Callithrix jacchus: one gene and its partners. Each later gene encodes a partner of the first gene's protein in a complex. Links are inferred from orthologs where the notes say so. Each region holds a gene or a part of one and is shown on either strand. Other genes may lie near its edges.

Region 1 (4,161 bases):
TGTTGATAGGCACAAGGAGTTACAGGTAAGATCCTGTGTAAAATCGGCACTCTGTAACCACAGAATCTGCATCTGAGGACTTCACCAGCCATGGATTGAAAACATTCAGAAAAATTTTAAAATAATACAAAATTTTTAAAATAAAACATATATAACTATTTACCAGCCATGGATTGAAAATATTCAGAAAAATTTTAAAATAATACAAAATTTTTAAAATAAAACATATATAACAACTATTTACCTATTATTTACATTGTATTAAGTGTAAGTAATCCAGAGATAAATTATACAGGAGAATATGCACAGGTTATATACAAATATGATAACATGTTCTATCAGAGACTTGAACATCCTCAGGTTTTGGTATGGGGAAGGGGATCCTGGAACTAATCTTCCGAGGATACCACGGGATGAGTGTAGTTCAAATGCCTTCCATTAACTCTTCTTAATGGTGAGCAGTTACCTACTCTAGAGGTGTAATTTAGGAATGAGGGGAGGGATCACAAGGGGAAAGATCTGCTGCCATCCCCTTTATCTATCAATCTGCCCCCCAAATTATCATCAGCCAGGTATTGATCTTCTTTCCTACTGATCAGTGCCCACCTCAAGAGTGAGGGGATGTACTCTCTAGTGAAGGTAGCAAAAATATAAAAATAAATAAAAACACAGCAAAAGTGAAGGGAGACGTGGGAGAAATGGAGAGCCATCTCAAATAAAACTTTTTGGTGTCGTAGAGAAAGCATATCTTTCTCTATTTGCAATCCACAATATAAATCAGACATAATGAACAAAGAAGGAGAGTCAGGGAGAAACTGAACAGGGGAAGAATACAGATAGCACGGCAGAGACACACCACACTGGGAGTGGGGGATGGAGTCAACAGGTGTAGAACCCCTTAGCCTAGGGTTCTCCAGCGTTGTTTAAACATTCATCAGCAGACTAATCAACATTATTTGACAGATAAATGTCATCTGGAAGAAATGATCGACAATGTAACTAGTCAGGCTGAGTCAAAGATAAAACAAGTAACTCATCCCAAAGAGCTCCCTGGGCTGGGATATAGGAGGCCACTATTTGTCTTGGGGGTGAAAAAATAGATCGGTCGATGTCCTAAGAATACACTCCTAGTAACTATACTAAGCCATATTCTTACAAAGTTAAAGCCTTAAAGTTAATGTTTTATCTCAATTATAGTCATTATTCTGTTGCAAGAAACTTTTGAGAAACAATGTTAGTTACCAATATGACCAAGTAAATGCAACTTGGGTTCTAGATTACTCAGGTGGTTACCAACTGATACCTTAAATGAAGGCTGAGGGTGAAGGAAAAATAAAGATTAATTCCACATCACTAAAGATATATTTTAAAGTTCAAGAGGCAACAAAAGTGACAATTCCATCATAATGTGTCTCATCATATAGACTCAGATCATGAATCAACTCTCATCTGAAGCCCTGTGTAACCCAGGTGTTCTGTACCCTGACAAAAGGACTGTAAAGGAACTCTCCTGTAATCCGGTTTCCCTGAGTGGATTCTTTGTACATACGATGATCCATACATTTTATGTCACTTGTAAAACAGTGGGCTCAGCATTGCCAAAACATCCTGGCTGTATGCTGTATGCCTACTGCATGGTCCAGTTTATGCTGCTTACTGAATTAACAGCATAACAATTAGAAAGTGTTTCCTTGGGCACAAAACAGTCTAGGCAACCAATACCTTTCAAATTACCAAACCAAACCAGAGAATCACATCCAAGGGCAGTAAACTCAGTTTATATTTAACACAACACAGCTACAGACCAATCAAAACATTATTTTTCAATTTCTTGACCTAGCAGTAGTTATACATTTATCATCAACAGTTCAGGCTCACATTACAATATATCTTTATCATTTTCCAAACACTGTAATAAAGCAGATTTTAACTCTTACTCAAAGTGTGAAAACCGAAATGGGAACAGGATTTCTTGTAAATGGAGGTATACAGGACAGCAACTGCTAAAGCCTCTCCAAGCTCCAAAGGTGCTACCCAGCTCCATCTTGAAACAGAAAAGGAATCCCAACCACACAGCCGCCCTGCAGTAGGAACCAAGGACAGCCCTGCAGAAGTCATGACGTAACCTGAAGTTTGATTTAAACAGAAAAAAAGCACAACAGCCCAAATGAAACATGACTGCTAACCTAGGAAACAGCTCGATTCTGCTGCAGCCATTCCGTAAGCCAGGCAGGTTCCACTGACTAACAGCGTTCAAGTTTCACAGCCTCAGCAACCCATCCTGTTAATGTCAATACCTTTTCTCTTCCTTGTCCTAGTCGCCGGTAAACATGTGAACAAGACTCCCCTCCAGGAGTAAAGAGAAGGTGGAATAGGCTTTCCCGTCATGAGAACTCAGGCAGCTCACTGCCTTTTCCAAGAAGTAAAGGTACAGGACCCTCCTGGGCACTTTCTGCTCCTAAACACAAAAGACCCAAATTGGCGTCTGAGGTCAGGATCCAAATATCGTTTCACTTCTCAGAAGCACCAGTTACAGAGGTGGAGAAAGAAAGCCTTTCCATCCCCAGGAGGCAACCACACCTCCCCGTGAGCTCAAATTCGGCTGCATCTCCGAAAATGGGAGCCACAGCTGCGCTGTCCTCCACCATGCCCTAAGCCTTCGTCTGTCTCCCAAGTTTGTCTTCTCCAGATTCACTGGGTAGGCTCCTGCTCGGCTCTGGTGGAGGGGTGACCCGCTGGCTGAGAAGGAAGTACGCTCCCTGAGCCAGCTCAGGGGCTACTGCAGGAGCCCGCCTGCCGGGAGAGCCATTTGGAGCCTCGGCCAGCTGGGGATGGGCCTGCGCCGGGAACGCCCGCTCCAACCAGGAGAGCCAAGGGCCAGTCCAGGGCGCGCAGCGTGCAGGGCGGTGCCCGTCTCGCTCGCGCAGAGGTGGGGCCGTGCCCGCAAGCCCCGCCCCACAACCCAGGGCGGGGCCGCGGGACCCCGCAGCTCTGACCCCGTGCCACCCCGCCATGGACCCCACCCCGCCATGGACCGCATACCACCGCACCCCAGCGACATCGAGCCTTCCTCAGCATTTCCACCAGTTTAAAGTTAGGTGGAACCATGCCGTTTTCGGTGTGTCAGAACAGTCTCATATCAGGAGTTTCTTACGGTTTCAATCTAAGAGCTACAGCGTATCTTGAAATGCGTGGCCACACTGGCGCTCCGCTCTACGTTTATCCGAACTCTAAAATTTTGGAGTGAAAACATTCTCCCTAATTCATTCAACAGCTATTTACTGGCATCAACTACTAATTTCCTCAATTCTAGCTCACTTCACTTCTCCTATCGGTAATGTATTTTAAATTCCCCTTCCCCGCTGCGAAAACACTTTGCAGGAAAAGTAGTAAGCATACTTCTGCCACATTAAACTCCTACTTAAACCTCCTAAGAGAGTATACTCTCTTCCCACTCTGGGAAAGCCATCTTAAATGGCCTCATTAAACGCAGAGTAGCTTGTTTTGTTTTTAAACAAGCATTACCCTTGCCCCAATAAAGTCCTGGGCCTCAGATTTGCATTGCATCAGCTAGTGCGTGCAGAGGTTTAACCTGTCATTACATCATGCTTAGGGCAGCCTCTAAATGCAGCAAGAGCTGGCAGAGAGGAATCAACCCAATGTAGGGAATTGCAGATTACCCACTTTCAGCAAGAAATTTTAACTCTAACCACTTCCTCACTCTATTAACAGTGTGTTCAATCACCTCAACCTCATTTTACAATATAGGCTACACAAAAGAGTATTAGGAAAAGAAATATGATTGAAAATAAATACAGTCTACCCCACAGACAAGTTTTTTGTTTTGTTGTTGTTGTTTTTGAGACAGGGTCTCACTCTTGCCCAGGTCTGAGTGCAGTGGCACAATCTCCACTCACTGCAGCCTCGGTCTTTTGGGCTCAAGCAATCCCCTCCCACCTGAATCTCCCCAATCACTAGGCACCACCGTCTTCGGCTAATTTTCTTTATATTTTTGGTAAAGACAGGGATTCCCCATGTTGCCCAGGCTGGTCTCAAACTCCTGGCCTGACACTATCCACCTGTCATGCCTTCCAAAGTGCTGGCCTACAGGCGTGAGCCACTATGCCCAGTCTGTATTTTTATTTTCTAACATTTATTCAT
Region 2 (3,587 bases), on another chromosome or scaffold:
CTCCTGCTTTGGCTTCCTGAGTAGCTGGGATTACAGTCATGTGCCACCACGCTGGTTAATTTTTGTATTTTTAGTAGAGACAGGGTTTTGCCATGTTGGTCAGGCTGGTCTCGAACTCCTGACCTCCAGCGATCCACCGGCCTCAACCTCCCAAAGTGCTGGAGCCACTGCACCTAGCTAGAGTTGAACTTTTTATACTATGTCATCTGTTATAGTTAGGCAAAACTAGGGCCTCTGAATTAAATAAAAGACTTGTAGTAAAAGAAAAGAATGGGTAGTTCTGTTACTGCATTTTATGACTAAGAAAGGCTTTCAAACTGTTGTGTTTCTGATATTCCGAGTTATTTATTTTATTTTTTTTGAGACGGAGTTTCGCTGTTGTTACCCAGACTGGAGTGCAATGGCACGATCTCAGCTCACCGCAACCTCCGCCTCCTGGGTTCAGGCAATTCTCCTGCCTCAGCCTCCTGAGTAACTGGGAACTACAGGCACGCACCACCACGCCCAGCTAATTTTTGTATTTTTAGTAGAGATGGGGTTTCACCTTGCTAATAACCAGGATGGTCTTGATCTCTTGACCTCATGATCCACCCGCCTCGGCCTCCCAAAGTGCTGGGATTATAGGTGTGAGCCACTGCACCTGGCTATTCTGAGTTATCAAACACTTAAAGATTTTTTTAAATTGAGCTTCTGACATAATCAAGCTGTGACAGAAGATTTTTTGGTCAAGTTGGTAGTATCCAGCCAGAATGTAAAAGTCATTGTAAGAAAAGCGAATCACCTGTTTGGAAAGATCTTGTGCATTTGCAGTATGTCAGAGGGTAATTAGGGAAAAAAACTTAGGCTCAATAATTTTCTAACATTGTCTTTAACTCTTGAATTTCATAAAATGTTGCCTCTATCTCTAGAAAGTAAAAAGTAGTAGACTTTAGTAGATGATGGATTGGCATAAAAAGAAAACAAGAACTTGGTGGCTTTTTCAAAAGATAATTTCCAAGAGTAGGTTGCATTTTGGGTTTTTTGTCACCTGTGCACCCAACTCCTACACTTCTGACTGTAAGACCCAGCTTCAGAACAAGACTTTTCCTTAAAAGCAGAAATTTGTTTTTAAAAATCTTTAGTCTGAAAACTTTAGACTTTTTTTATGTGAGGTATTTGAGGTGGGAAGATAATGAAGACCAGTCAGTGACAGAAAGTAGAGTATTCATTACCTCAGTAAAGTTGCTATATTACCATGCTGTATTACACTGCATGTTCTCTCATCTCTTAAATATTTTTAAAGTGTCTTAACATCTAATGATACTAGGATTAGATGTTACAAGGAAATCTATGAACACCTTGTTAAAAAAAATTTCTAAGTTGCAGATGTGTCTTGTAAATATTTTAAATACAAACTGGAAACTAGGTTTGATTACCTATTGTTTGTTCAAGATTGTTCAAAGTTTTCCTTTAAAAAAAAAGGAAGCTTGAGTTAATTATAGTTAATAAGCCAGAGGAAAGAATTGAAGTTGCAACTCAATCCTAGAAAATTTAGATGAACCTCTTAATTCTTAGTGCTTATTTCAGTAAGTTGAAATGAGTGATAAGCACAATAGAAAACCATAGCCTTATTTATCATAGCTAACTTATTTTTTGTCTTAACACAGCTACAGAAAGATCTAGAAGAGGTAAAGGTGTTGCTGGAAAAGACTACTAGGAAAAGAATACGAGATGCCCTTACAGCTGAAAAATCCAAGATTGAGACAGAAATCAAGAACAAGATGCAACAGAAATCACAGAAGAAAGCAGAGCTTCTTGAAAATGAAAAGCCAGCTGCTGTGGTTGCTCCCATTACAACAGGCTATACAGTGAAAATCAGTAATTATGGTATGATTTGCTTCCCTAGACCAGTTCTGCCTCCGATCAACCTATTCCTCATAGTGATCTAGTAACAAATTTTTATTTATTTATTTATTTATTTTGAGACGGCGTTTCGCTCGTTACCCAGCTGGAGTGCAATGGCGCGATCTCAGCTCACTGCAACCTCTGCCTCTTGGGTTCAGGCAATTCTCCTGCCTCAGCCTCCTGAGTAGCTGGGATTACAGGCACGTGCCACCATGCCCAGCTAATTTTTTGTAGAGATGGGGTTTCACCTTGTTGACCAGGATGGTCTCGATCTCTTGACCTCGTGATCCACCCGCCTTGGCCTCCCAGAGTGCTGGGATTACAGGCGTGAGACACCGTGCCCGGCCAAATTTATCTTTAAAAGAGCTTTCTGTGTGCGTTTTTGGTGGCTTGGAGGAAGACCCATCAGTTTTTATTTAATAAATAGGAAGGGATAATTTACAAAAGATGTTAACAATAAGGTGATTCAGTGCAAAGATGAATAGCAACAACGAAGCAACTTACTCTGAAATTGTTCAGTATATATGAGGCACTGCAGTGGTGGTGGTTTTTAATGTTTTACGTTGCACTCTGACAGCCACCTCAATTAACTGAGGAGAGGAATCCAGTTAAATTCAATAAATGTTTTTGAGCACTTACTGTGTATCACTATTGTGCTTGGACTTAAGGATACACAAGAGTGACTAAGACCCAGTCCTTGCTCATGGTGTGGTTGGGACACAGACATATAACTCACACTATAACAATGTAGTAACACTTTCCTTCAGTGGTGTATTCAGCTTTTTGTTTTGGCGGCAGTACAACTTGAATATGAGTGATCAGCTCTCATGAGAGCAAGGACAGTCTTTTTTTTCTTTGTGCTCATAGTGTCTAGTACATAGTGGGTAATATAGCTCAGGAAATAATTCTGGAGGTGAGAAACGGGGAAAATTAGATTTGAATGTGAAGGGTGAGTTGTATATTCAGTAAGTTGAAAAGGGAGCAGCATGAGCAGAGGAAGAGTTGGAAGGCATGATATATATGGAATATTGGTATAGTGAAAAGCATGTGTATGCTGGTTTCAAACTCCTGACCTCCAGTGGATCCACTGGCCTTGACCTCCCAAAGGGCTGGGATTACAGGTGTGAGCCACTCCACCCGGCCAGAGTTGAACTTTTTATACTGTGTCGTCTGTTAAAGATAGGCAAAACTAGGGTATCTGAGTTAAATGAGATAAAAGACTTGTAGTAAAGGAAAAGCATTAGTAGTTCTGTTACTGCATTTTATAAGACTATTAAGAAAGACTTTCAAACTGTCGTGCTTCTGATACTGAGTTTTGTTGTTTTTTTTTTTGAGACGGAGTTTCACTCTTGTTGCCCAGGTTAGGGTGCAATGGCATGATCTCTGCTCACTGCAACCTCTGCCTCCTGGGTTCAAGCGAGTCTTCTGCCTCAGCCTCCCGAGTAGCTGGGATTACAACCATGTGCCACCATGCCTGGATAATTTTGTATATTTAATAGAGACTGGGTTTCTCCATGTTGGTTAGGCTGGTCTCGAACTCCCAACCTCAGGTGATCCACCCGCCTGAGCCTCCCAAAGTGCTGGAATTACAGGCATGAACCACCACGCCTGGCCCTGATATTGAGTTATTAAGTACTTAAAGATTTTTTTTTAATTGAGCTTTATATAATCAAGCTATGACACATGATTTTTTTGGTCAGGTT
Region 3 (3,440 bases), on another chromosome or scaffold:
CCAGCACCCTCCCTCCAATAGAAGTTAGACAAGATCAGCTCTGGTCCTCTTTGCCTGTCCTCTTTTCAGGGCAGCAAGATCTGCCCCACAGCAGTTTCCCACCTGTAGGGATCCAGATGTTGTTCAAGCAAAGAAAAAGCTGAGAACTGATAAGGAGGAAGATCCCCACCCCCAGTATTCTGTCCCCCACCAAGTCCTCCTTGACTTATTGTCTGGTTGTCAGCCCGAGGCTGCTCTGGTACATGCACCTTTGACTCCATGCTGTCAACTCCAGTGCCTCATATACTCCTCTGTCTCTTGGGCATTGAAATCCTGATGATGCCAACCACAGCTGCCTCTATGTGGGACCCAGAACCAGTGAAATCAAAGAGCAGCAGGTAAGTTCCAAAGAGCTGACAGCACTGGGGGTTTCATGAGCCATAGGACATGAACTGGGACCCCTTCATCTCTCTTCAGAATAGAGCACTTTCAAGGTCTCTTATACATACCTGCACGCACACAGATGCACACAGACACACACACACAGACATGACCAAATGATGGGGAGGGGAGGTGGCCCCAGCACGTGGTGGATCACAGTCACTAAGTCTACTAATTTTTTATTTTTAAAATATATTTAAACAGCAGCAATCACTTCCAAAATGCAAAAAAAAATTACAATTTTTAGAATAAAATTATGTTTATAATGTGGGTCAGAAAGAATTGAAGGTACAACTGAGAATCAAATCACGCAGCACTGGAGGCAGCTGGAGAAGCCAAAGCCCACTGGTCAGGCGTCCAAGCTGACAAGAAGTCCCAACCTGAGATGTTTCCACACCCAAATCATACCCCACAGCTTCCCGTTGACAGAGCCAGTGTCCTCTGGATTAGAGAAGGAGAAGCAGCAAAGAGCTGGCCCTCTGTGGTGGGTCTCCCATACCCAGGACCCCCCATCAGCCAGGGACCTGCTAATCCACCTCCTCCATGTTGCTGTAGGTAGGGGCTGGCCGATCCACAGGGGGGGCGAAGCGTTCAGGGGCTGTCCGCGTGGGGGCCACCTCGGGGGCCTGGCCAGGGCCTAGTCCCTGCAACAGAATATGAGGACAGGGGTTGGGGGCTGCCCAGCATGCCGCCTGGCATCCCGGGGGTGCTGGCTTGGAGCCCTGGCACCCAAGGGAGGGTCCCAAGGCAGGCGCAGACAGCAGCGGCGTGAGACAGAGAGACGAGATCGGGCCTGAATAGTCTGGTTTTATTAACACTTTACGTACAGGAAGTAGCTTGGGCAGGGCCAAGCCCCAGGCCAAGGGTCAGAGCAACAGTATGGTATGAATGGACAGACAGCTGGATGGATACCCACCCTAGGATGCCCTGCCCCTGCAGAGGCCACAGTCTCCCCACCCTCCCCCACCAGATACACAAGCTGAGGCCCAAAGCCCAGAGACGTTCCCCACAACAAAGGCAGGCATGGCCTGGGCAGGCAGGTAGGCCAGCTCACAGCTGCTGCCTGCAGGTGAGCTCATCTCCAGCGACTCTGGGATACCAGAGGATAGAACACGTTGAGCACGAGGGCCACCAAAGCTGCCACGGTGCCCAGGACAAAGTACCGGAGGCAGCCCTCATCTGGTGTGGTAGGGCCACGTGGTGGGGGGCCCACCCAGTCTTGGGGCCCCCAGGGACCCATGGGCCCAGGCCCCTCAGGCACCGGCTCCTCCTCAGCCTCCAGCTCCTGCCAAATCCGGGAAGCCTAGGGTATGTGGAAACGGCCATCAGCACCCCAGGGTTGGGGAGGACCCAGTATCCCTGAGACTCTTAGCCATGACAGTCCCATCTGGGGTGACTGGGGCTAACACCCTGCATTCTAGATCAAGCAGCAAGGAAGAAGGCAGGCAGCCAACCTCAGGGTTGTCCAGACTAAGAGCACAAGGGTAAAAGAATCTTTTTTTTTTTTTGAGACAGAGTTTCATTCTTATTACCCAGGCTGGAGTGCAATGGCGGGATCTCGGCTCACTGCAACCTCCGCCTCCTGGATTCAGGCAATTCCCCTGCCTCAGCCTCCTGAGCAGCCAAGATCACAGACATGCGCCACCATGCCCAGCGAGTTTTTTGTATTTTTTTAGTAGAGACGGGGTTTCACCACGTTGACCAGGATGGTCTCGATCTCTTGACCTCGTGATCCACCCGCCTCGGCCTCCCAAAATGCTGGGATTACAGGCTTGAGCCACCGCGCCCCGGCCGGGTAAAAGAATCTTGATAGCATTTTTGCCTACCCTAAACAGCTCTCAATCCACATGCAGCTCCACATGGAGGTGGGTGGGGAGTTATCTGGTTAGTATTTTAGTCCAGGCCTCCCCAGATGACACTGATGCATAGAGAACAGGGTTGCCAATCCCAGAGCAATCTCCTTGTTCCTTTCCATCCATACCCAGATCCTGACCAGTCTTCTGCAGAAATTTCTCTAAGCTTGACAGAGGGCTCAAGAGAATGGGGCCAGAAAGGAGGCAGCCAGTCCAGAAAAGAGATGTGCCCATGCCCACCAACTGGATCTATGGCATACCATGTCAGTAAAAGAGACAGAAGATCAGCAAAGACAGATGCTTATGTTTACCTCAGAGAGTATGACAGCCACCAGAGGCCATGGCCAGCCCAGATAGGCCTTGTCTTGAGTGCACACCAGAACTCAGGGATATCACAAGTGAAGGTGTGTGGGCTATCATGTGGGGAATGTGAGGGGGAAATCTGGGAAATTGTCAGGTATAGTCCATTCACAGCACAGTGCCCAGTGAGGTTCAGAGCAGTTGCCTGATCTGTGCCAAGTGGGTGCCAATGTGCTTGCCAGTGGCAGCATGTTATTAGTGTACCTGTACATTTGTTAGTGTTCCCAGGGTATGGGGATACTTCTGGATAAGGCTTTGATGTAAGGGAACTTTGCAATTCTCATGAATCCCAAGGCTCAAGGGGTCTGTGGCTGGAGGAGAGGAAGCTCTATCCCCCAACCCTGCCCCACAGTCTGTGAGCTATCCCCACTATTCTGTAAAGCCTACCACATGCCTCACCTGGCTGGCAGCAGCCTCGGCTGCAGGGCCTAGGTCTGGGTGGTGCTCAGAGTGACCTGCCCTGGGGGGCCTCTCCACAGGAGAGTTCCGCCGGCGATAGAAGAGTACATAGGCATAACGTGTCACGACCTGGCTCTCGTCTACCGTTGTCACCGTGCTGTCATCAAACAAGCGCCAGCCTACAGCAGGGTGGGAAGAGTGTGAACAAAGTCTGTACCACCACCCCTACCACCTATCCTGCTGGGCTGTGTGTGCCCTCACCCACGTCACTGCGCTGACTGCTACGATCATTGGGCAGGCGTGCACAGGCAGTGTAGTGGCCACCGATCATGCCTCCATAGTGGTTAATGACAGCATACAGATCGTAGTTGGGCAGCTGCTCCTCTTTCTGGCCAATGCAGAACTTGC

Evidence for each region. The genes of interacting proteins can lie anywhere in the genome.
Region 2: the proteins of SIAH1 (region 1) and CACYBP are in contact, whole or in part, in a crystal structure (PDB 2A25), measured with the Homo sapiens proteins. The link is inferred for Callithrix jacchus from reciprocal best matches to the Homo sapiens genes SIAH1 and CACYBP. Residues at the interface, in NP_003022.3 of Homo sapiens: Leu158, Gln159, Asp162, Ile163, Val164, Phe165, Leu166, Ala167, Thr168, Val176, Asp177, Trp178, Val179, Met180, Asn276; in NP_055227.1 of Homo sapiens: Lys59, Pro60, Ala61, Ala62, Val63, Val64, Ala65, Pro66, Ile67.
Region 3: the proteins of SIAH1 (region 1) and USP19 are in contact, whole or in part, in a crystal structure (PDB 4X3G), measured with the Homo sapiens proteins. The link is inferred for Callithrix jacchus from reciprocal best matches to the Homo sapiens genes SIAH1 and USP19. Residues at the interface, in NP_003022.3 of Homo sapiens: Cys130, Pro131, Thr156, Leu158, Gln159, Asp162, Ile163, Val164, Phe165, Leu166, Ala167, Thr168, Leu172, Val176, Asp177, Trp178, Val179, Met180, Asn276; in NP_006668.1 of Homo sapiens: Lys463, Pro464, Thr465, Cys466, Met467, Val468, Pro469, Pro470, Met471.

What each region holds. Positions count from the first base shown.
Region 1 is NC_133521.1:6,077,544-6,081,704, forward strand, and holds the start of SIAH1 (E3 ubiquitin-protein ligase SIAH1), read right to left. Parts: upstream 2,851-4,161; 5' UTR 2,389-2,850; coding exon of another isoform or gene 2,298-2,388; 5' UTR 2,218-2,297; coding exon of another isoform or gene 2,187-2,217; 5' UTR 2,119-2,186; coding exon 1,938-2,118; intron 1-1,937. UniProt on the Homo sapiens protein: E3 ubiquitin-protein ligase that mediates ubiquitination and subsequent proteasomal degradation of target proteins.
Region 2 is NC_133519.1:28,150,070-28,153,656, reverse strand, and holds part of CACYBP (calcyclin-binding protein), read left to right. Parts: intron 1-1,646; coding exon 1,647-1,866; intron 1,867-3,587. UniProt on the Homo sapiens protein: May be involved in calcium-dependent ubiquitination and subsequent proteasomal degradation of target proteins. Probably serves as a molecular bridge in ubiquitin E3 complexes. Participates in the ubiquitin-mediated degradation of beta-catenin (CTNNB1).
Region 3 is NC_133516.1:31,729,453-31,732,892, forward strand, and holds the end of USP19 (ubiquitin carboxyl-terminal hydrolase 19), read right to left. Parts: coding exon 3,294-3,440; intron 3,212-3,293; coding exon 3,033-3,211; intron 1,724-3,032; coding exon 1,496-1,723; 3' UTR 1,065-1,495; coding exon of another isoform or gene 948-1,064; 3' UTR 584-947; downstream 1-583. UniProt on the Homo sapiens protein: Deubiquitinating enzyme that regulates the degradation of various proteins by removing ubiquitin moieties, thereby preventing their proteasomal degradation. Stabilizes RNF123, which promotes CDKN1B degradation and contributes to cell proliferation.